Drosophila melanogaster: one gene and its partners. The protein of the gene in region 1 interacts with the protein of each later gene in a pairwise test. Each region holds a gene or a part of one and is shown in the gene's direction. Other genes may lie near its edges.

What was found. The genes of interacting proteins can lie anywhere in the genome.
Region 2: the proteins of CG31482 (region 1) and Rad23 interact in a two-hybrid assay, tested with the Drosophila melanogaster proteins (one large-scale study listed by BioGRID).
Region 3: the proteins of CG31482 (region 1) and CG6293 interact in a two-hybrid assay, tested with the Drosophila melanogaster proteins (one large-scale study listed by BioGRID).

Annotation. Positions count from the first base shown.
Region 1 is NT_033777.3:6,597,384-6,604,368, forward strand, and holds CG31482 (uncharacterized protein), read left to right. Parts: upstream 1-3,858; 5' UTR 3,859-3,926; coding exon 3,927-3,968; intron 3,969-4,026; coding exon 4,027-4,155; intron 4,156-4,212; coding exon 4,213-4,529; intron 4,530-4,582; coding exon 4,583-4,682; 3' UTR 4,683-4,818; downstream 4,819-6,985. Other genes in the region: CG1138 (uncharacterized protein), read right to left, coding at 1-553.
Region 2 is NC_004353.4:306,111-313,334, forward strand, and holds Rad23 (Rad23), read left to right. Parts: upstream 1-1,982; 5' UTR 1,983-2,113; coding exon 2,114-2,179; intron 2,180-2,302; exon of another isoform or gene 2,303-2,320; coding exon 2,321-2,969; intron 2,970-3,428; coding exon 3,429-3,523; intron 3,524-3,583; coding exon 3,584-3,907; intron 3,908-3,968; coding exon 3,969-4,079; 3' UTR 4,080-4,712; downstream 4,713-7,224. Other genes in the region: Zip102B (Zinc/iron regulated transporter-related protein 102B), read right to left, coding at 6,680-7,188.
Region 3 is NT_033777.3:10,305,294-10,313,347, reverse strand, and holds CG6293 (uncharacterized protein), read left to right. Parts: upstream 1-1,734; 5' UTR 1,735-1,853; coding exon 1,854-1,886; intron 1,887-2,829; coding exon 2,830-3,449; intron 3,450-3,649; coding exon 3,650-4,166; intron 4,167-4,230; coding exon 4,231-4,782; 3' UTR 4,783-5,542; downstream 5,543-8,054. Other genes in the region: Bruce (BIR repeat containing ubiquitin-conjugating enzyme), read left to right, coding at 1-138, 210-704.

The DNA of each region.
Region 1 (6,985 bases):
CTAGTTTTTGAATTTCAATCTGCAACTGATCCCCTAATTTCTTGCTTCTGCAGTATTCATCCCGTACCAGTTTTTTGGCCAGATTGGATGATCTTCGGACGGATTGCATCTGAGTCAGTTGGTGCTGTAGTTTATGGCTTGCAAACTTCAGCTGAAGAATTTCGGGATGAACTTCCTTTACATTTGTCAAAAATATATGATCATCCAGGCAGGGATCTATTTTTGGGCATTCCGGTATATTGGTACCTAGTTGGTAATTGAGTCGATTTACGCGCCGCTTTAAGCGAAACACCTCATCGTAAATATCTTCGAGTTCCAGATTGCTTTTCTCGTTTGATTCTTCTAGAACTTCCTCAGCGATCCAGCAATCTTCGGATTGCAAAACACTCTGCATCGTGCAGTGAAACACTTTTTTTGGCCCGTTATGTTTGAATGCGAACTTTGATTGTGCCAGTTTCTTATCATTTGGTTTAGTGTTTTCCATTTTACTTATTCCTGCTGCCTTGCACGATAAATTTTGGTCCACTGATTGCAGTATTGGTAATGAATTCATCTTGAATTCATTCCTCCAAATTAACCAATATCCAATTAACTGTGAACTTCAAAACGGAAACTAACTCGGTACACAACGAGCACTTCCAGTGTTTTCAAATCATCTAACACAAATCTCAATGAAGGCTTAGATAAAATATCGTATATATCGATCTATCTATGGGTTTGTTCGATCTTTTAGTTGGGTACGTGCAATTATTATATCCTTTTTCAAAGCGTCCCTTAATTTGTAGTTTTAACTACAACTAATGCAGTCTTCAACGCAGATATATACGCAATATATAAAAATGTTATCGGCAAGAAAATCCACTGAAAAATTTGCTCAACTCCCATTCACGGAATTTCAAATCCTAACAAAAAGCCTGCTTAATGTGAATTTAAAATACCAAAATGAAGACGGAAAAAGTTGGGATACTATACTGTCCCAAATAAAATAGCAAAAACATAAACTTATTTATATATAAATACAATTATAAGGAAAATACATACTTATGTTGTTATTTAAGCCAGGTTCTAGACACTCTGAACTCCAAAAATGTAAGAAGAGTTTGGATGCAGTGTGCACTCAATGGGTAAGCTCACATTATTGAATAGATTTTGCGGAAGGCAGAAGCTTTCCTTTTCACTGAATGACAGCGGAAAATGAAGTGAAATCTAATTAAAACCCTTTGCTAAAATCACAATTGTCAGCGAAAGCTCACGCACACCTGCTCGCAAAACTCACGAGCACACAAACACTGACACAGACAGATGGACAGACACCGGCGATTCCCATACGCAAACAAATAGAGGATCCGATTCTGAGCCCGAGTGGGGCGGTCCTGGCAGGTGAAAAACAGACGTCAGCTGTCCAACTACCCGAATGCGGAATCTGGTGAAAACAGTGCAAAAGTTTTGACCAGAAATAAAAGAAAGGCGAACTGTACTCGGCTTTGGAAGCCACCACCACTTAGTGATGCCAAAGAGAACCTGTGTTTGTAAGATTATTACTAGGAAAACCAAACTTGAATAATACCAATAAATATACAGGAAAGACAGGACAAATCCAATTTATGTTACATGTTTTGGATGTCTACATCACCCATGAAACTCCGCGAATCTAGCCATTAGTTAAATGGCTTAATAAAAATTGTTTATGTTTATTAGGGTAAATCATTGACAGTTTCATAATTTGATTGTAAATGATGGTAATCGGTAGCTTACAATAAGCTGGCTCACCTTTTTTTTTAAGATTTCTTAGGATAGGTAAGTGCCATCTCTGATTTGAATCTAGATGCCACGGGGTGAGGGGCACATAACCTCCAGGAGCGAATAAAACGCGCTGTTGCACACGAAAAATAACAAGCTGCGTTGGTCAATTCATCGAATGTCGGTCAGGGCTGCCGCCAGGGAGAAATGGATTGGGCAATGGGCACTGGGCAATGGGAAGCAGGAGCCCGGAGGTGGGTAAGACCACCTGGGCGGAGGTCCATGCAGGGGGCGACATAAAAGTTTCACACCCAGCCATTTGGCCATCAGTGTCCAACAGAGCCGTTGGGCCGGAGTTGCTGTGTTTGAATTAAAAGAAATTAGTTTAGTTATGCCAATGCTCCCCGGGCTACGCTATTGAGTTATCGGCCAGGCAGGAGTGGGACAACTTGGTGCCGGTGACAGGAGGCAACTCGGATGGATAAATTGCAAGTTTTCCCTTACAATTTTGAGTGTGTGCTGCTTGTCCTTGCGTGCCTGGAATTTCAGAAAAAATAAACGCTTTGCGTGTTGCTCTTCTGATGTCGTTTAACCATTATGTGGCATGAATTTGCCATTTTCATTTAAATGCTGCTCTTGGCAGCGAGTCAACTCGTTGGCTTTTTAGCGACTGTTCTGCATTCATAAGCAGCAATCGTATATATCCTGCGGAATGTACTGAAATTGTTGTTGGATTTAGGTCTAAATGTATACAAAACTAGTATTCTTATTTGTTAAGCCCTGAATAAATTTAATTTTTAAATTGCATAAATTGCAGTGCAGTGAAATCATCTGTAATACCCATAGTACCAAAAACCTTATTTTTGTGAATGATTTTGTGTTGCGTACAAAACCTAGATTTCACGCTGATCATTTCCATTCCTAAGTTTTGAAAACAGCAGAGGTGCCATCACCAGTGACGAACCAGATTATGCTCATGCTGGTGCCATCGAAATTGATAGTGGAAATATGTGTGCTGAATGGGATATTTAAGCGCGCCTATCAAACACGCGCACAATAAATCTTCGTCACGGGCCCAAATTGACATTTTACAGCCAAAAACCAGAAACCAAAGCCACGCAGAGGACAAAGTAAGTTCCACTAGTCCGTGTTCCAGCTGCTTTTTTGCTCCTGCGGCTGCCGCTGTTTCGAAAGCCACTGATATTGTTGTCAACGATGATGGCCCAAGGCATCAGCCACATGTGTGGGAGCCAGAGCTCGTCCCTCCTCAAAGTGCCCTCGCACATGGTTGGCAAAGCCAAACCTTTATTGCCACAGCTCCATGGAGCAACAGCGAAAATTTAATATCTGGCTGGGGCGTGGCTCCATTGGAGCTGGTCCGTTGTTGCTGGCGATCAGAACTCATCGCATTATCCTTTGGCCTGGTGGCGGTTACTCGCTCAAAATAATTGCACACTGCACCCCCAATAAGTCTGTTCGCCCGTTTGATACAGAGAAATTTCTATTCGCATTTCCCAAACAAAAGTGGTGTACAAAAATAAAACTGCATATAAGTTTTAAAACATACGCCATACAAAATATATTAAAAAATGTCCGAAAAAATATTGTGCTTTTCCTCGTTCTGGTTTTCAGTGTCTCTGTGAAGTCATCTGTCAGTACCCTAATGCAAAAAGCATGAAACCTCAGGCCAGCTGTCAACACAACAAGCAAATTGCCGCGGAAGCATCAGTTTTGAGGCAACTAGACTTTTTTGATATGGAAAAACCCCTATCAGTAAGAGTCACTAGAACTATAGGTTTATTTTTAAAAATAATCAGCTCCTTTAACACAAAGTTAGACTTCTAAGTAGACAAACAAAATTTAACCCTCGTCTAATTTGTGTTTCTTTTGAGATTGGTTTTGATACTCAGCTTTCCATGCATTATGTCCGAATCTAAAGTCAACTTCATATTTTAGTAGATTTTTGGAACGATACTCATGTACAAATGATACAAACTGCATGAGAAGTGCACGGACTAAAAACTGTATTAATTAAGGGATCCTCCATACGCTTTATAGGTACACCAAACTAATTACAATTTAAGTAACTTTTAAATTACGTCACCAGAATTTCGAGGTCTTTAAAGCAATCAGAATCCTAGATAAGTTTGTCAAAGTTTTCGTGCTATAGTTATTCTCAAAAAAACATGTTTTTGGTGAACATATTGATTGTTTTGGCTCTATGTTTGGTATAATTAAATATTTAGTAATTTTAAATGAAATCTGATTTATTCTCCTGTATTCTAGTTGGTGTTGGTTATAGCTGATCTTCAGGAGGACCATCTAAATGAACACAATCGGTTGAGGGAGAAGCATGGAAGTCCGCCTCTGACCTTGGACGATGAACTCACAAAGGGATGCGAAGAATATGCTAAAGTATTTCGTTGGTTAATAACAATGTTACCTTTTTACACTTTTAATACCCTCGAACAGGTGCTAGCCAATAATGAAAAGTTAGAGCATTCAAGTTCTGCCGGTCAAAACTATGGTGAAAACTTGTGCATGCGGTCACAAACCCCTCTGCAATGTGTTCAAGACTGGTACGACGAAATCGCGGACTACGACTTTGAAAAGCCACAGTTTGCAATGTCAACGGGTCATTTCACCGCCCTCGTTTGGAAGAATGCGAAAAAAATGGGTATTGGGCAAGCCAAGGACAAAAAGGGTTACTACTGGGTGGTAGCAAGATATTATCCACCAGTCAATGTGAACGGGCAGTTCGAAGAAAATGTTCTTCCGCCGATCAAAGGGTAAGCAAATTAATTACATCTGTAGTTTTTTCTTTCATTTTATTTCATTGCAGGGAAGGTGATGAAAATGGTCAAGGCAATTTGAATAGATTTCAAGTTGACAATATTCCCATCATAGTCATGCTTTGGTTATGCTGGCAATTCACAAATTGAGGGTCATTATCACTTTGAAGTTTTTGTGCCGCAGTTCTTGTAAATTTGTAGTTAAGCAATTTGAAAAACCAATTACTGATATTTGAAACTACTCTGTACCCAATAATAAATTTCACTTTTTGGAAGTTTGGTGAATATGCCATTGTTAGTTATGTAAAACCATTCTATCTAGTTGCTTGCAACTTGTAGTTCACCAGGAAGATATTAAAACAGCACACGATATTTAATGATCGAAACTGGGGAGTGCTGCCTTAACACTGGGGTGTTTGGCATTTACAAAAACTATTTAAATGCATGAAATATTTTGAATTAAAAAAAAGAGAGAATGTTATAGTCGAGTTCCCCGACTATCTAATACCCGTTACTCAGCTGCTGGCAGTGAGAACGTGATATTTCATAATTTTCTGGCATATCGATAGATATTGGAGAATTTAATGGGAAGGCGTGGCTGCATGGATGAACAAACTTGTGCTTTAGAATCTGTATGCTTTATCTTAACCTTATAGCTTATATAATTCCTGAAATTTCGACGGTCATACGAACGACCAGACAGACGGACATGATCCTGATCAAGAATAAATATACTTTATACGGTCAGAAACTCTTCCTTCTACATACTTCCTTGACATACTTTTTAACGAATCTAGTGTATTCTACTTAATTCTACGAGTAACGGGTATAAAATGTGTTAAAATTTATATTATTTGAAACAGCTATTACTACAGCTATAGAAATCCAATCTAAGACGACACAGCACTGGTGGGCGTGTGAGTATGTTGGGTTAATTTGAATTCGTGCGATAGGGATATTCAGTTTTTTTTTTTCACTAGGCGCGGGTTGTTCTGGCCTTTTTCTTTCCGCATTTATTTTTATCTTTTTTGGCAATCAGCATCAGCCGAAAGGAATTCCCCATTGACTATGCCGGTGTCAACAAAGTGGCGGAAAAGAATTAGGTATACTGTCTCGGTTGGCTGTTTATACCCTTCTACTATCTCAATCCTTAACAAGTTTTAGATGGCTTAATATATTTATAAAATTATATAAATTGTAATCATTTTTATGAATTATATCACATTACTTTACCACTAAGTCAAAATGGGTGACTTATGCACCTTTTGGGGTGGTACCTACCACGTACTGGGTATCTATAAGTCGGTGCAATCAACTAGAGCGCTATTTTATTTCAAGCTTTGTTTCCTACATGTCTGTTCCCAAGTGGAAGTCGATGTCTGGGGCTCAGCAGCTGCCGGGAGCGCATTAAATCCTTAAGCACTCATTATTATTCAATCAGATATGGAGTCGAATGTCTTTTTGTTTGTGTCTTACTTAGCCTCGCTTTCTGGGTGGCTGCGCCGTGCGTGGGTCCACCTAATGACATTCAAATTGCTTCCATCTCTGGTCGGTTTCAATTGGAACACCTTGCACAAAAATTAATGGAATTATAGATCACAGCGTCTAGGGATGCATGTTCCCCAGATATTTCTTTGACGTCTGGTTGAGTGTTAAATGTAATGAAAGCAGAAATTCTATACGGATTTGAAAGTTGGAAATTGGTACACTTCTTAAAGAAAATAGTGTGAAAAATGTGTGTCATTTGGAAAACTGTATTTTTTATGCATACCTTTAATGCGTTTGCTTTTGAGGGCTGAATAACTATCTTTCGAATGTCCTTTAGTTCGGGCACTTATAAAATGCTCCCCATCACCACTCTATTATGGTTTGGGTTCGACGGATAGCCGAGTTTGTCAACTATTTACAACTTGAACTTGGTCGTAATATTTATGTGCATCGTAAAGGCCGAAAGTTGGAGCGACGCACTGAGAAAATGTTGTGAAATCAAATTTACACACAAACCATCCCTAATGACCTAGCCCACAGACAGAACGGAAACACGGAGGCGCCACTCCGGAAAAGGACGAAGCCAAGTCGCGGAGCGTTGTGTCTCGTTGGCAGAACTTCATTCGCGGGGCTGGAAATTGTTTAATTTCGCCCTCTCTTAATTATCTGCAGTGTGCCGGGTGCTTAAATTATAATGGCGCTGACCTAATTGAGTAATAATTAAAATTAAGTGCATGCTAAATTGTTATTAATTATAAAGTGCACGCAAAGATGCCACCAACTTTCATCGATAGCGTGCTAAGGGATACTTAAAGGGCCCGGGCTAGTTGGTTGCAAGTGTCACCAATCGAGAAGGGCAGACTGAAATCTATGGCCCATTCAGACCATTTACAATATTCTCTTTTTAATAAAATAGCACTGCGGCCAAAAGTTAATTTACTTTTCGCGACGCGTAATAACTTTGG
Region 2 (7,224 bases), on another chromosome or scaffold:
GTTTTCTTGGCAGATCCCGATATGTCACGGTTAAAAAGAAAGCTAGGAGAGAGTGCACGAAGAAATGAAAATCTGATGCTAACACAAGAAATGAAATTAATTCACATGAATACACTTATTTATTATTATTAATTGATAAGTGGAAAAACAATGCATTCGTGTATTTTTTGTATTATTCTTTGCAAATGTCTAATGCACAAGATTATTATTACAATTAAAAATCTTCAACAGCAAATTTTTATTTTTTGTTTTTATGGTATATACAATTATTTAGAATTAACACATTTGTCATTTTTGAAATTGTATCTTTTAAAATTCTCGATATTTACTACATTTAAACACCCCACTGATGATACAGCAATAGTTATCTTAATTTCGAAATTTTCGTTAATCTTATATGAACTCAAATCATATATGTTCACAAGACAGAAGATAAGCATTGATGTATATCTTTTGAAAGGAATACGGTATTACCAAAGACACTAGAATAACAAGATGCGTAACGGCCATACATTGGTTTGCCCAAAGACCCTAGAATAACAAGATGCGTAACGCCATACGATTTTTTGGCACACGATTTTTTGGCCGTGGCTCTAGAGGTGGCTCCAGGCTCTCTCGAATTTTTGTTTGAGAGCGAGAGAGCGAAGAGCGCTACAGCGAACAGCTCTTTTCAACGCACAAAGTGGTAGGAGACATCTGTATGTGTGCACACGTATGCTCATGCATTGTAAATTTGACAAAATATGCCCTTCACCTCAGAAGTTTTTAGACTTTAAATCTATATTATTTTTGATCAATTGGCACCATGCGAAAAATTCTTGTTTTGCATTGCCTTAACGTTATTATTATTTGAAAATATATCAGAAATAGCCAAATCTATGTACATATTATCACAAAAATAAATTTCAAAAATGACTTTATATAAGAATATTTGTCATTAGAGTATTCATCTTGCGGCGTGTGAAAAATTAATAAGGCAATGATTGTTGAGTGCTTGTGTCCGCACTTCGTGCCTCAAGATATGAACAAAGCATTAGAATTATTCTAGTATATTACTTTGATATTACTTTTGCAATAAACAGTTATCATATTTAATTATTTAGTATATTTATTAAATCATTTGACTTAATATGATGTAACATTAACATTAAAAGTGTTTTAAAAAAATAATTTCTCTTTTAAAAAATTGTCAGATGAGAGACAAATTAGAATTAAACATAAATATAAATGTGTAAACGGTAGCTAATTCGAGCGGCGATTTTAACAAACAAATTTAAAAAGCTTTAAAATTATAATAGTCAGGGCGCGAATTTTTAAAAATTTTTTTATTTTATCATATTGCTAGGAAATTGGCAAAAACTACCCTAATATGTACCATGTAAATTCGTTTCTTCGATCAGAATTGATTTCGGCCCGAAAATCGTCTTCTAGCACAACACGCACACTTATACGCGTTCTCGTCTCTTGTTTTTACTCACACAAGCAATCAAATTATATTTTTAGATTTCTTACGCTCTCAGCGGGAGTGAGCGGAAAGAGAGTAATTTTGGCAGTCACCAAAGAAGTGGCTGCATAGTGCCAAACCAATGTATGGCCGTTACGCATCTTGTTATTCTAGTGTCTTTGGTTAAACTAAAGTATTTTTAAAGAAATACCGAACTACTTAAACGGAATTAAAAATTAAATTTCTTTGAAATTTATTGATCATCAACCGATGGTATATTATAAATAGACTTATATACTACAGGTATAACCTGTATATAGTATGATCTAAATCGTTGATATAATGAAATACTAACTACAGTCAAACCACGGACAATTGTTTATTTGTTACGTTCATTATGACTTCAATATTTCATATTTCATTATAAATTTCATTACAAATCTTTACATCTTTCTTGATGTGTGAAAATGTTATAAGGACTATTGAACTCTTTGGTTTGTGCTGCGATTTTGTGTCTTTTAAGCGAGAAGGTATAATTTGCCAGTCCATGTGCGGTCACACTGATGACAAATCGTTTTTATCAAGCGATATTGGGAACTAACTTTCGAGTTTGCATATGTGTATGCATATGTATATTTAATTAAGTTTTGGTTTTGTCTGATACACAAGATGATTATTACAATTAAAAATCTTCAACAGCAAACTTTTACTATTGAGTTTGCCCCGGAAAAAACGGTATGTGTACAAATAGTCAAATACTAGTATATTCACATGTATGGTATATACAATTATTGCAAATGCATATGTGTGCTTATACAGGTATTTCTTACAATTAATTTGTTGTACCATAATAAGCAGGGATTCTGATTACAAAAGGTTTTGGAACTGAAGAAGAAAATATTCGAGGAGCGCGGTCCAGAGTACGTCGCCGAAAAACAAAAACTGATCTACGCTGGCGTCATATTGACGGATGACCGCACCGTTGGTTCATACAACGTTGATGAAAAAAAGTTCATTGTGGTAATGTTGACACGCGATTCGTCTAGTTCAAATCGTAATCAACTTAGTGTAAAAGAAAGTAATAAATTGACTAGCACCGACGATTCAAAGCAATCTATGCCTTGCGAAGAAGCCAACCATACCAATTCGCCTAGTTCCACAAATACAGAAGATTCAGTTTTATCACGTGAAACCAGACCTTTATCTAGTGACGAATTGATTGGCGAGTTGGCCCAGGCTTCCTTACAATCGCGCGCTGAATCTAATTTGCTTATGGGTGACGAATACAACCAAACAGTCCTATCAATGGTGGAAATGGGTTACCCAAGAGAGCAGGTTGAACGTGCGATGGCTGCTAGTTATAACAACCCGGAAAGAGCCGTTGAATATCTCATTAATGGCATACCTGCAGAGGAAGGTACTTTTTACAATAGGCTGAATGAATCAACGAATCCTAGTCTAATCCCCTCCGGACCGCAACCTGCGTCGGCAACCTCTGCCGAGCGTTCAACAGAATCAAATTCAGGTAACTTGATGGGATTTCAATCAGCAGTCAATTTATGTATTCTTGTATGAAACGAAAATATATAATTTCTACCCAGAAGTACTAAATTTGCACACTTCAAAACATAGTGAAATTAATAAACCCGATTTGGCTCTCGCTCTTTAATGAAATTATACGGCCTTAACATAATTGCGTTAGTTTTCCTGGTCAAGAAATATTGTTGATCAAAACTTATGTTGCACATTCGTTAATAAATAATAAAAGAGTTCTCTTAGTACTGGAAATATATGCAGCTGTTAAAGATTCACTAAAATGTTTGTGAGCTCGTTGTCCCGCAGTATCATTTACATATATATGTCAACAGACACTAAAGGAGCGATAATTCACGAATTTTTGTCACTATTCTCTTCAAGGACAGGGCATCACTATATGTTTTTAGTTAATTTAATTATTATTTAATTATTTATATTTACGTTTCAGACCCCTTTGAATTTTTACGTAGCCAGCCACAGTTTCTTCAAATGCGATCTTTAATTTATCAAAACCCTCATCTTTTGCATGCAGTATTGCAGCAGGTAAGTACACTTATAATAATAATTACATGACACGTAAATGATAATTTTTTTTACGTATAGATTGGTCAGACAAACCCAGCCCTTTTACAACTTATTTCGGAGAACCAAGATGCGTTTCTCAATATGCTTAATCAACCGATTGACCGCGAATCGGAGTCAGGCGCCACCGTTCCTCCCGTTTCGAATGCGCGGATTCCTTCAACTTTGGACAATGTTGACCTCTTTTCTCCAGATTTAGAAGTAGCTACTTCAGCACAAAGATCAGCCGCGGGTACAAGTGCAGCACATCAAAGCGGTAGCGCAGCGGATAACGAAGACTTGGAACAACCTTTAGGAGTATCAACCATTCGTTTAAATCGCCAAGATAAGGACGCAATAGAACGGGTATATAGGAGTGAATAATTATATATGGACTGTCGAGTTACTTAATATATTCTTCTTCTAGCTAAAAGCTCTTGGATTCCCAGAGGCCCTTGTACTGCAAGCGTACTTCGCTTGTGAAAAGAACGAGGAACAAGCAGCTAATTTTTTGCTATCGTCTAGCTTCGATGATTAGGATGACAAAATGTAAGAAGTTATGCAAATAACACCGGAAGCGTTACATTTAAAGTTAGATGTTCTTAAATTAAATGTAAAATGTCGATCATAAAAATTCTTTTATATTCTTTTAATACCGTCGGCGTATTGTACTTGTTATTTGTTAAAAATTGCAGCCATGGGTAAAATAGAGTTACGATGTCATTTTTACTAAATATTTCACCACGACATTGTCTTCAGCATAAGACTGCAAATGTCTACAAATTTATCTGTGCCAATCCATGGTAGGGAGGCCTTGGATTAGGCCTTCACCTAATGGATGGCAAAGTATATTTCTAGTGTGTGTATTTCTAGTGTATATGCAATACACACATTAATTATTTTAAGGTCGTATTAAGCTAAAGAAGTCTTATGATTTATTCTTTCCTTATCTTGGTTGATTTATAAAATATTTTTTTGACTAGTGGGAGTCCACAATTAAGTCACTTAACACATAAAGTACTTTTTGTCGTCCTGGATGTTGGACATATGACTAAAATATATTAATCATTGTATTACATAAATTTCGTGTTTTTTTATTGTAAATAATGTCCGCAATTATGCCCTAATAAGCTGTGGCGTCTCTTTGGTGATTCCTTTCAGGATGAGTCGGAGAAATAAAACAATTTCATTAATTGCATGACATTCATAACAATTCTATAGTCGAGTGCCTCGACTATCAGATACCCTTTACTCACGAAAAAACTAATTAAAATTTTTATAAATATTTTTTATTGCTTATTTTTACAGGAATAAATGTTCTCCAGTTTTACAGTACTTAGATTATCATTAATTTACAAATATACAAAACTGTAGAACATTTGGACTTATGATACTTTTCTGCTTGCCAATTAATACGACAAATATAAAACTCGAACATTGTAATATGCATTATTAATGCAAAGAATTCTACACTTTAATATTAATAAATCTCTAATAGTTTCATGTATGGCTATGGTCCCCTCTATAATGTTGCTACAATTATAAATCTTTCCTGACTCAATGTAGATTCAAAGACACAAGAATTATTGGTAGATTTGGTAGAACGCAGGTAAGTGGAAAGAGAAGCACTCGTTAATACTTCTTTCCTTGACACGTTCCAGAACTTTAGACTGGGTCGAATTAACTTTATAAACATGGGCATACCCACCGGACCACAAATAACGTTATTCTAGTGTCTTTGGTTTGACTGTGTTAATGACAAATCTTTAAGCTCAAAATTGTAGTATAGAAACTCTTTGGTGACCATTGACACGAATAGGACTGCCGACCACAGTGACATACATATAAAGTGAAAACATACACATTTATGTGGAAATGGTCTGGCAACGACGAAAGACAAGCTTCACAGCTTATCTAACGACAAATCAAAAAGTTAGAACGATAGAGTGGTGTTTACACACAAACTACCGGATTGATGTACACTTTCTCATATCGATATGACGCAACCTAGTGATTTTGGAAGTATTAGTAAGATGCTACGCGGTGAAAAGATACAAAATATTATAAGATTGTATATATGTAAAGGGAAAACAATTTATCCTAATTTGAAACAAATCCATGCTACAAGTAATTGAACATTTTACCAAATTTTGTCGATTGTGCCCAAGGAGAAGAGAATCGAGATCAGGTTTCGGAATGGCAACGAAAAGGAATAGTACGCAAGTCGGCGCCGAATTTCGCCAGCAGACTCGTCATAGTCAAAAACAAAGATGGATCAACTTAACGCCATGGTTTAAAAAACTGCCTAAAACTGCAGTCAGCAAAGCTATTTGTCGTCGTGATTTTGGGAAACAGTTTTTTTCACGTTCTAGTAGAAGAGAAGTGCCCATAATACACATCATTTATAGCCAAAGAAGTTTTTAAAGATCTTTGCTAAGATATGATTCATATTTACAAGACAAGACAAGAACAGCGGAAATAAAGAACGCGCGAAAAATATTCCGCAAAGAAGTTGAGCAGAATTAAAGTAGAAAAGACGCAGAAAGGTATCTATAAATGTAGAAAGTCATAGCAGAAGTAGTTATAGAAATCCGTAATCTAAGGCCGTAACAGAAGACGTTATCCAGTAAACCAATGGTGACATTGCCAAGCTGCCTTTAAACCGTCTCTTACTTTTTACTACCATTCTGAGAACGTAAACTATCCATTGTTATTAAATACAATAAAAACATATATAATTATAAATTAACATATAGTATATAGGAGCCGGAGTCAAAATTCTGATGCCAATGAATTCGGCGCCGACTTGCGTACTATTCCTGCCTGCGCAAGTCTAAATATTAAAGTAAAATATTTCTTGCACTACTTTTTGACCTTCCTCATTTTGCTTGGTTTACTCACAATACATTCTCGTATAAGGCCTCTCAAATCACTCAACTTTACAGAAAGCTGACAAAAGTTGACGTCGGTACCAAATTTGACTTTCATGCGACAATTCATTAAATTCAAAATCTTTGTGCAAAGCACTTAATGTTAATAATTGTATATCCGAGAAATTAAACCCAATATATTTATAGCTTAATATCCCTTAACTTTTACTTCATCTTATTTGACAAAAATATATGTATTACTACATTACTAGTGATTATGTCCAAATGTTATAATTAGGGGTAGCAGTGCGCCGCAAATCAGAATTACCAATTCACTATATTTTAGTGCTTGAATACTATTGCTTCCATTTATATCATTCGTAGCAACACCTCGAGATTCCTCTAGCAAACAATAATCATGCTGATCGCTTTTCGTAAATCCCCCTTGGGTAAGCTCTGGTAAAACATGCACAGTTGCTACGTACAAAAATGTTCCAGCGGAGAATAGCATAGCTATACCAGTGGCATTCACGGAATTTAACGTGTCCTTCTGCTCCTGTCCGATCCCAAAATACGTTAAAATAGTCATAAGGGGAGCCGACAGGGAAAATAAGACTAGGTGTCTGCGAATTTGATGTCTGTCTACTTTTTCGTGCAGTAAGAATGTCACTAATCCAAATGCTGCTGGTGCCTTATGAAGCATTATAGCTAAAAATACAATTATCTCAACGTCTTGATGGCTAGTGGTGGCAGCTGCTCCCAATGCAACTCCATCAGCTGCAAAAGAACAACAATTTTTAAGATATGGTGGGT
Region 3 (8,054 bases), 3.7 Mb from region 1:
GAACCGGGCTTTGAAAGAAGTCGTGGCAGTCCAAGTGGTACCAATTCATCGCGAGAATATAATAGCAATATATATCAGGCCTGTGTGCGGTGGGCTATGTTGGAGCAAATACGGAGTCCAAGTCAGTGCTTTAAAGATGTAAGTTTTATTTGAAAAGTTTGATAAATGCCCAGCTGTACTTAACAAGCATTACTTATTAAACACCAAAGGTCATACACAAGCACTTCTGGTTGAAGAGAGAGGAGATTTGCGCCCAGATAGAGGGCTGGATCGAGGAACTCGGTAAGCCGCAGTACACCGAGAGGGCCAGTCGCACTATATCGTTCAACTCAATGGTCCTGCGCCGCCACTATCGCCACCTGCGTGAGGAGTTGTCGAAACTGAAGCCGCCACGTGGCCTCGAGGACTTGGATGCGCCCTTTAATCCTGTGGCCACGCTACCACCGATGGATGTGTCCGCCGTGGCTCCTTCACTAGCAGCCACAAATACCGTCCAAGCGCAACCGGATGATGCCATAGTGACCGATATTACCCTGCTCGGCGAGAATGCGGATGAATGCGAAGCTGATGGCGATGCCGAAGGCGATGGAGAAGTGGACGATGGCTTTAAGGGTTTCCCGCAAGAAGAGGGTTTGCTGACGGGCGAGGAAGAGGTCGTGGAAATTTTAAGTGATACGGAGAACGAGAGCAGTATGTGGCAATAGATAGAGAAGGAAGAGCTAATAGTCTCTGGTTGCCCGAGGATGCTGGAGATGGATATAAAATGATGCTGCTCGCCTACCGCACTGCGCTGCCCTAGACATTTTTATTTATATGCATGAGTTTTGTTTTATGGCTTTACTTGATTTAATTTTTGTAAGAGAGACTGCAACAGAACTTGGTGTGCTTTACTTAATGGAACCGTAATGATTAATGTTATACAAACTACGCTAAGGAACTTTGCGCAGAAGAGGGCGTGCACACATACAAAATGCATACACTCCCATTAAAAAAGCATTGTCAGAATCTTTCCATTAAACAAACTGAATATCCCACTTCATACAAGTATGTATGAGATTATTGTATCGAACTTTTTATAAATGCTTATATGAAAGGATCTATCAATTTCTACAAGAATAATCCGTGTGTGTATAGAATAGAATGAAAATATCACCATTATAAAACAGTTACAACAACAAAAACCACCAAAACTAAATTAATGTGTATTAAACTATGTATGAACGTAGTGATTTAGTTAAATATTGACACAAGAATATGAACAGTTAATTTTTCAATTGAAATAAAATCCGAGATATATTTTGTTTCCCCCAAAAGTATGCTTTCAAATATTTGGACTAAATGCTGATCATAAATATTTTCGTCGTCTAACGAAAGAGAAAGATAATATATACTACTTTATCACATTCGGCATGTTTATCTTTATGATGCCAACTTTGTCACTTTAATTGGGAATCATTAAATATTATAATCCCTTTGCGGTGTTTTTTCGGTTGCTCAACTGAGATGGTAATGTTTTAAGGTACTTTGGTAAAAACTGATTTTTTTAAAATATGTAGCTTATTTTTCTTGGCACTCGAGTTGTAATGAGTTGTGAATTGGCAAGTTAATTTATTTTACTTTCACTATGCCCTGTTCTGTGTAGAGAACCATTCTAGAGAGCACCAGTGCGCTCAGATGCTCTTGAACTGAAGGCTTCCAGCTCTCTGCGATAAAACATTTTCGATAGAAAGATCACGCCATTGAGTATCGGGGCTTTGTCGCGCTCGGACGTACAGCGGAATTCTTCGGGAGTCTTTTCCCGTGCGTTAGCCCAATTAGTTTATGGCGGATATAAAGTGTGAGCTCGCCTGATCATGGAGCTGAACAATGTTACCATCGAGGACGCCGTAAGTCCAATGTTTCTTTGCATAACCAAATAATAACTGAACGCGTGATTTTATGTAAGAGGAATTCCCCCAATTGATCTGTTCCTATTTTGATTTTTATCGGATTTTGTTTTGCGAGGCACTTCTTCACTCAGTTGCATTTCCCACTTAATTGTTGCCGATGTGTTATACATATGCGTTTTTAAGGGGTAAGACGCTAAGATAACACCCAGTAATTAACAGTTCATTCACAAATTATTTTTTCAACGATCTGCGCCAGTAAGTAACTGCCGATCAAAACGATTTGTTATATTTATGCGGCGCATACCTTTCGGTCCGCAATGCATGAGCTGACAACAAGCTGATTTATTAAGTACCACCACAGCCAATCAGCTATTAATTTATGGTCTAATTAAAATCACTGATCTCAACAAGCTGAGAAAAAACCGTCGCCAGCGATCGAAGCACTGATACTAACGCTCAATTAATCACGATTGGAGACCAGAGCCGTCAGTCAAACTCGGGCCAAGATTAAATTCCGCCCCCCATGGGGCGTTTTAAGCCATATTGTTATGTTAATAAATTCAAAACATTAATAGCAAATCTCATAAATAAAACAATGAATTTTCAGTACTCTGCAATTATACAATAAAATGAGAGAATATCTCTATGCCCGATACTAAAAACCACTCATTTGCATAAACAAATAGATATTTGCATTAAGAAAATATAATTACACTGATCAATAATATTGATGAAGATTTTACTTTCAATTATTAATTAATTGATGGTAACAAATTGAAATTGTACGATGCCCATTGATCATCCTTTTACAAATAGGTAAATGCTTATATGGAAAAGGCGTTTAATTAAAAAGAAACTATTTATATAAAATAAAAACTGTAGTCTTTTGAGCAGTGTTTAGTTGAAAATAATTTGATGTTGCATATTGATTAATTTCCAGACAGATGCTTCCAAGTCCTACTCTCAAGCAGCTAACACGCCTCCAAGTAATGAGAAACCCAAGCCGCAACTGCTCTACGCCATCAACGATAATCCCCCATGGTACTTGAGCATCTTCCTCGCATTCCAGCACTACCTGACCATGATTGGAGCCATTGTTTCCATACCTTTCATCCTGACGCCGGCGTTGTGCATGTCCGATGAGGACGCCAACCGGGGCATCATCATCTCTACGATGATCTTCGTCACGGGCATCGTTACCTACTTCCAGGCCACGTGGGGCGTCCGTTTGCCCATTGTTCAGGGCGGAACTATATCGTTCTTGGTGCCCACCCTTGCCATCTTGGCCCTGCCGCAGTGGAAGTGCCCGGAGCAAGCCGTAATGGATGCCATGGACGAGGCTGAGCGGGAGGAACTATGGCAAGTGCGTATGCGGGAGCTATCCGGCGCTATTGCCGTGTCCGCCATGGTGCAAGTTATCCTGGGCTACACTGGTCTGGTGGGAAAAATCCTTAAGTACGTAACTCCATTGACCATTGTACCCACTGTGTCCCTGGTGGGTCTTACCCTATTCGAGCACGCAGCTGAAACCGCATCCAAGCATTGGGGCATTGCTGTGGGGTAAGTATTACTGATAGAAATACCCAGATAGTTATAATAGTTATTAATTAGTTTTATTACGTTCGAAATACTGGATTGGCAATGTATATCGTTTCAAATTAAAAAAGCTTAGTAAAACTATACCTATGATAAATGTTTTAAAGTTCTTAGAAATTTTATAGCCTGGTAATTTGTTTTTTGGGTTTTAATCTTTTTTATAGAACCACTGGAATGCTGACACTCTTTTCGCAAATAATGTCGAATGTTCCCGTGCCTATCTTGGCCTACCGCAAGGGTCACGGCTTGGAAATTCGCCAGTTCCAGTTGTTCCGCCTCTTTCCCGTCCTGCTGACCATCATGATAATGTGGGGTCTGTGCGGAATTCTGACTGCTACGGATGTCTTTCCTCCGTCACATCCTTCTCGCACCGATGTTCGCCTGAATGTGCTGACCAGTGCAAAGTGGTTCTATGTCCCGTATCCGGGACAGTTTGGCTGGCCATCGGTGACGCTGTCCGGCGTGCTTGGCATGTTGGCCGGAGTACTTGCCTGTACGGTGGAGTCACTTAGTTACTATCCAACGGTGTCACAGATGTCCGGCGCCCACTCGCCTCCGCTCCATGCGATCAATCGCGGGATCGGTACCGAGGGCTTTGGCACTGTCCTCGCCGGTCTGTGGGGAGCTGGAAATGGAACCAATACCTTTGGAGAGAATGTTGGCGCCATCGGGGTCACCAAGGTAATTTATATAAAAGAGAACACTAAAATTGAAGTTGATGGAAATATAAATATCTGCATTTTAGATTGGATCCCGACGTGTAATACAGTGGGCTGCCTTGATAATGGTCCTCCAGGGGGTAATTGGAAAGTTTGGAGCCATTTTCATTCTCATTCCCGACTCGGTGGTGGGCGGAATCTTTTGTGTGATGTTTGGCATGATTATAGCTTTTGGGCTATCCACCTTGCAGTATGTGGATCTGCGATCCGCAAGGAATCTTTACATATTGGGGCTCTCAATATTTTTCCCGATGGTATTGTGCCGCTGGATGCAGAAGAACCCTGGAGCTATTGACACCGGAAACAAGACCGTGGACTCAACGTTATCGGTGCTACTGGGCACTACAATTCTCGTGGGTGGAGTTTTGGGATGCTTGCTGGACAATATAATCCCAGGGACGCCGGAGGAGAGGGGCCTAATCGACTGGGCAAACGAGATGCCCCTGGGCGATGATAATGTTAATGATGGCACAGCCACCGACTACGATTTTCCACTTGGCATGGATGCCATTCGTCGTTGGAAGTGGACCTACTATATTCCGTTCATGCCGACTTACAAGCTCCAGAAGCAAAGCTGATCGTGGGAAAAAATGCAAATAAGAGCCATTCAATTGGTGACTTGGTTTTTATTTATTTTTAGAAAACACTTTTCGTGCTCACGCTCTAATTACAATTTGAACTTCGAATTCGAATGCTACCCAAAACTCTAGATCTATTATTTTTTGTTCCGTGTTTCTGTTAATTTGCTTTTTAAATTCGCTTATTGTTTGTTGCTACGATTACCTAACACTCTTCCGTTTCGCTACCAACTCGCATATTTTCTATTATTTTGCAATAACATCAATAGACCTAGCAAACGAAAGTTGTCGTTATTAAACTCTATTCAAATCTTGAAAACAATCCATCAGTTCTGTATAATGCAAAAAAAAATTGTTGTTAAAATTTATATAATAGAAATTTTAACGCATTTTCGGCGCAAGGTATCCTCACAAAAATAGCATAGAAAATACATATACATATATTGTGAAACACGTCTCTTGTTTACTTCCGGTCTCCCTGTCTCCCTTTTTCCCTTTCTGTTTCCGCTTCCGTTCCGCTTACACACTTATAGATTAAAATCAACGTTTTATGGCTATTGGTTAAATCTAAAACCACCGAAGGAACCAAGGCACAATCATTTGAAAATCGTATATATATGTATGCAAATGTGCATTATTGAGTCACGATCTATGGCTGAAACTCCGCTATATCCAAACTACAACAAACCTACGACTAGGGGCAGCGCTCAAAAGTCTGCACTAGAGTATAACTTTGGCTAAGTTCCATTAAAAAATTATCAAAAATCTTTATGCCTAAGTTTGGTATTGGGTATTATGGTATAGGGGATCTGGGATCGGATCGCAGGGAACCTCGGGGCTCCAGTCTAGAACTTGTGCTGTTCATTTGGGTGGTGGTAATGATGGTTTTGGATGGGGGCGGGATGAAGCTGTTGCTTCTTGGTGCCGCCGCTGCTGGCACGCGAGGATGACGATGAGGCTGTGGTATTGGGCGGCGTGCTCATGGCCTGGCCATGTCCGTGCCCACTTCCGATTCCGTGGCCGGGACTCGTCTTCTTCCGTTTGGAGTAGTAGCAGAAGATGCAGAAGCCATTCTGCGGTGTGGTACATCAAATGTTTGTTGGACTGCGAGTGGCCGATGAAGTGCGGTAACGCGACCCAGATCTAGAATACATATCAAGTTGTAATCACTAATTCCTCTTGAAAGTCATTTAACTTACCGCGAAATACTGGATGTGTAGTCTCTAACCGGTGTCCTTGCTTCACGCCTTTGGTAGGAAACCCCTTCACCACTACGACTGCTGCTCGAGGTCGGTGGCTCCAGCAGGGACATCGTTCGATGGTCGTATGGACGAAGGGATCTCCTGCCCAGGGTGGCGTATCCATCCAGGTGGCTGCTCCCTGCGGCACTGCTTCCACTGGTCGCTGTAGGCAGACTACCATTGAGCGTATACGAAGATCTACGCTTTGGATTGTAGGTGTTGTAATAGCCGCTGGCAATGGCTCCATTACTTGGACTCGAACTGGAGGAGCTCTTGTATCGCATTGGCACCGAACTGTAATCGGTGGTCTCGTAACGTTTGCTGAGGAAAGAGGGCGAGGTATTCCTAATGTCATTCAGACTCTTTCTTGGCTTGCTGGTGGCCCCCGCCGATGATGCAGAGTAGTCCAAAGTGGAGCGGTAAACAGGGGGCTTTAGCTCCGTTCCCACGGGACTCAGTTTCAGGGGTCTAAAGAACTGCTGGGCTATGTCCGGTGAATGAGCTCTTGGTGGTGGATCCATGTCCGGAGCATGCAGTTTGTTACTGGAGCGCGCCTTAACTGCCGCTTGTTGCTCCCGGTAGTAGTCCCTCACAGCCGATGGTCCGACTATGCTGCTAGTGCGTCGTGGTTTTTTCTGCTCATTGAATCGACTGTAGAAGCTACGCCGTTTAATCCTGTCGATCACACTCTCGTTGGGATCAGAGCTCTCGGAGCAACGAGTGGGCGAGGACAATGAAGCTCTTGACAACCGGGAAACTGTGGGCGAGGGCGTCGCGTGCAACATATAGTTGTCCTCGGAGCATATGGACCAATTGTCAAAATACAACTCCGGCTCTTCGGTGGGCGATAGGAAAGTCGAGGTGGAGGCGCAGTCATCTTGGTAGCTCCTTGAGTCCGAGGAGTAGTTGGCAATGTTTTCGAAGGATGGCGTCAAGAGCGGATTATTCCGATTAATCTCATGTGCCGATGAGGTTCTATAGCCAGAAGTTTGCGAACTGCAATTATTATTGGTATTTGTTGAGTTATTGTTGGTGGCGTTCTCCATGGACTGCTGGCTGGAGCTGTTGTTGGAGCTGGCACTTTTCATGGCTCCCGGATAGGGTGGCAGATTCGAGTAGATGCCCATTCCCAGTCCTCCATTTCCATTGATCAAAGCCGGATTGGTTTTAGATCCCCGATAGCTGCTTCCACTTGTGGTAGTTGTGGTGGCGGTGGTCACCGAGCTGGGGGCACCACTGGCGGACACATTTGCGCTGGCCAGATCAAGCATCAGACCCTTTCGCTTCTCCTTGCTGCTTGGCATTGTTGTGTTGGTTGGAGCACCGCTGGTGGTTACGTTCTGTCCATTGTTTTGCCTGCAATCTGGGCAAGCTGTTTCGCAATTGCAATTCTCTTCGCCATTTGCCGTTGAAGAGACTTTGCTTTTTGTGCTCTTAACCACATTCTGATAGATTGGCGATGTTGGTAGCGAGGCGTCCAGCAGCTGATCCTGTTCTTCGCGAACCTGTCGCTCTATGTTGCTGGTGGATCGGGAGCTTCTCACCCGGCGTTGTTCACTGCTTTCCCTGTCAAATCGACGCAACAAACCGCCGAACATCTTGTTAACTGCTCCGCCTTGTTTTCCCTGCCCCTCTGGGCATCCGGCGTGCAGCTCCTCCACACTGGCAGCTCGCTTGGGACTCACGCCTCCATTGGGTTGTGATCTGGGTACGGATCTCTCTCTTAAAGAGCGTAGCATGGTGTCAAACCGGGATCGCTTATCCACCCGTTTGTCGTCGGAGAGTCCAGTTTGTTGGGACTTCTCTGTATCCGAAACGTTCTTCTTATACTTCTCTGGAGAGCTGCGTTCTTCGGGAGACCCTTGCTTTTGGGTGCAGGCCAAAGATGCTGCTGCTCCAGTAGAACCAGCCTTTTTCTCCTTGCTCATGGCGGAGTCTCGTAGTTTCTCAAACTTCTGTCCCAAAGCGTAAAGCAAACCCTTGCTGGGTTTCTTTTCCGGTGACTTCTCCTTGGGCTTAATGACCGGACTA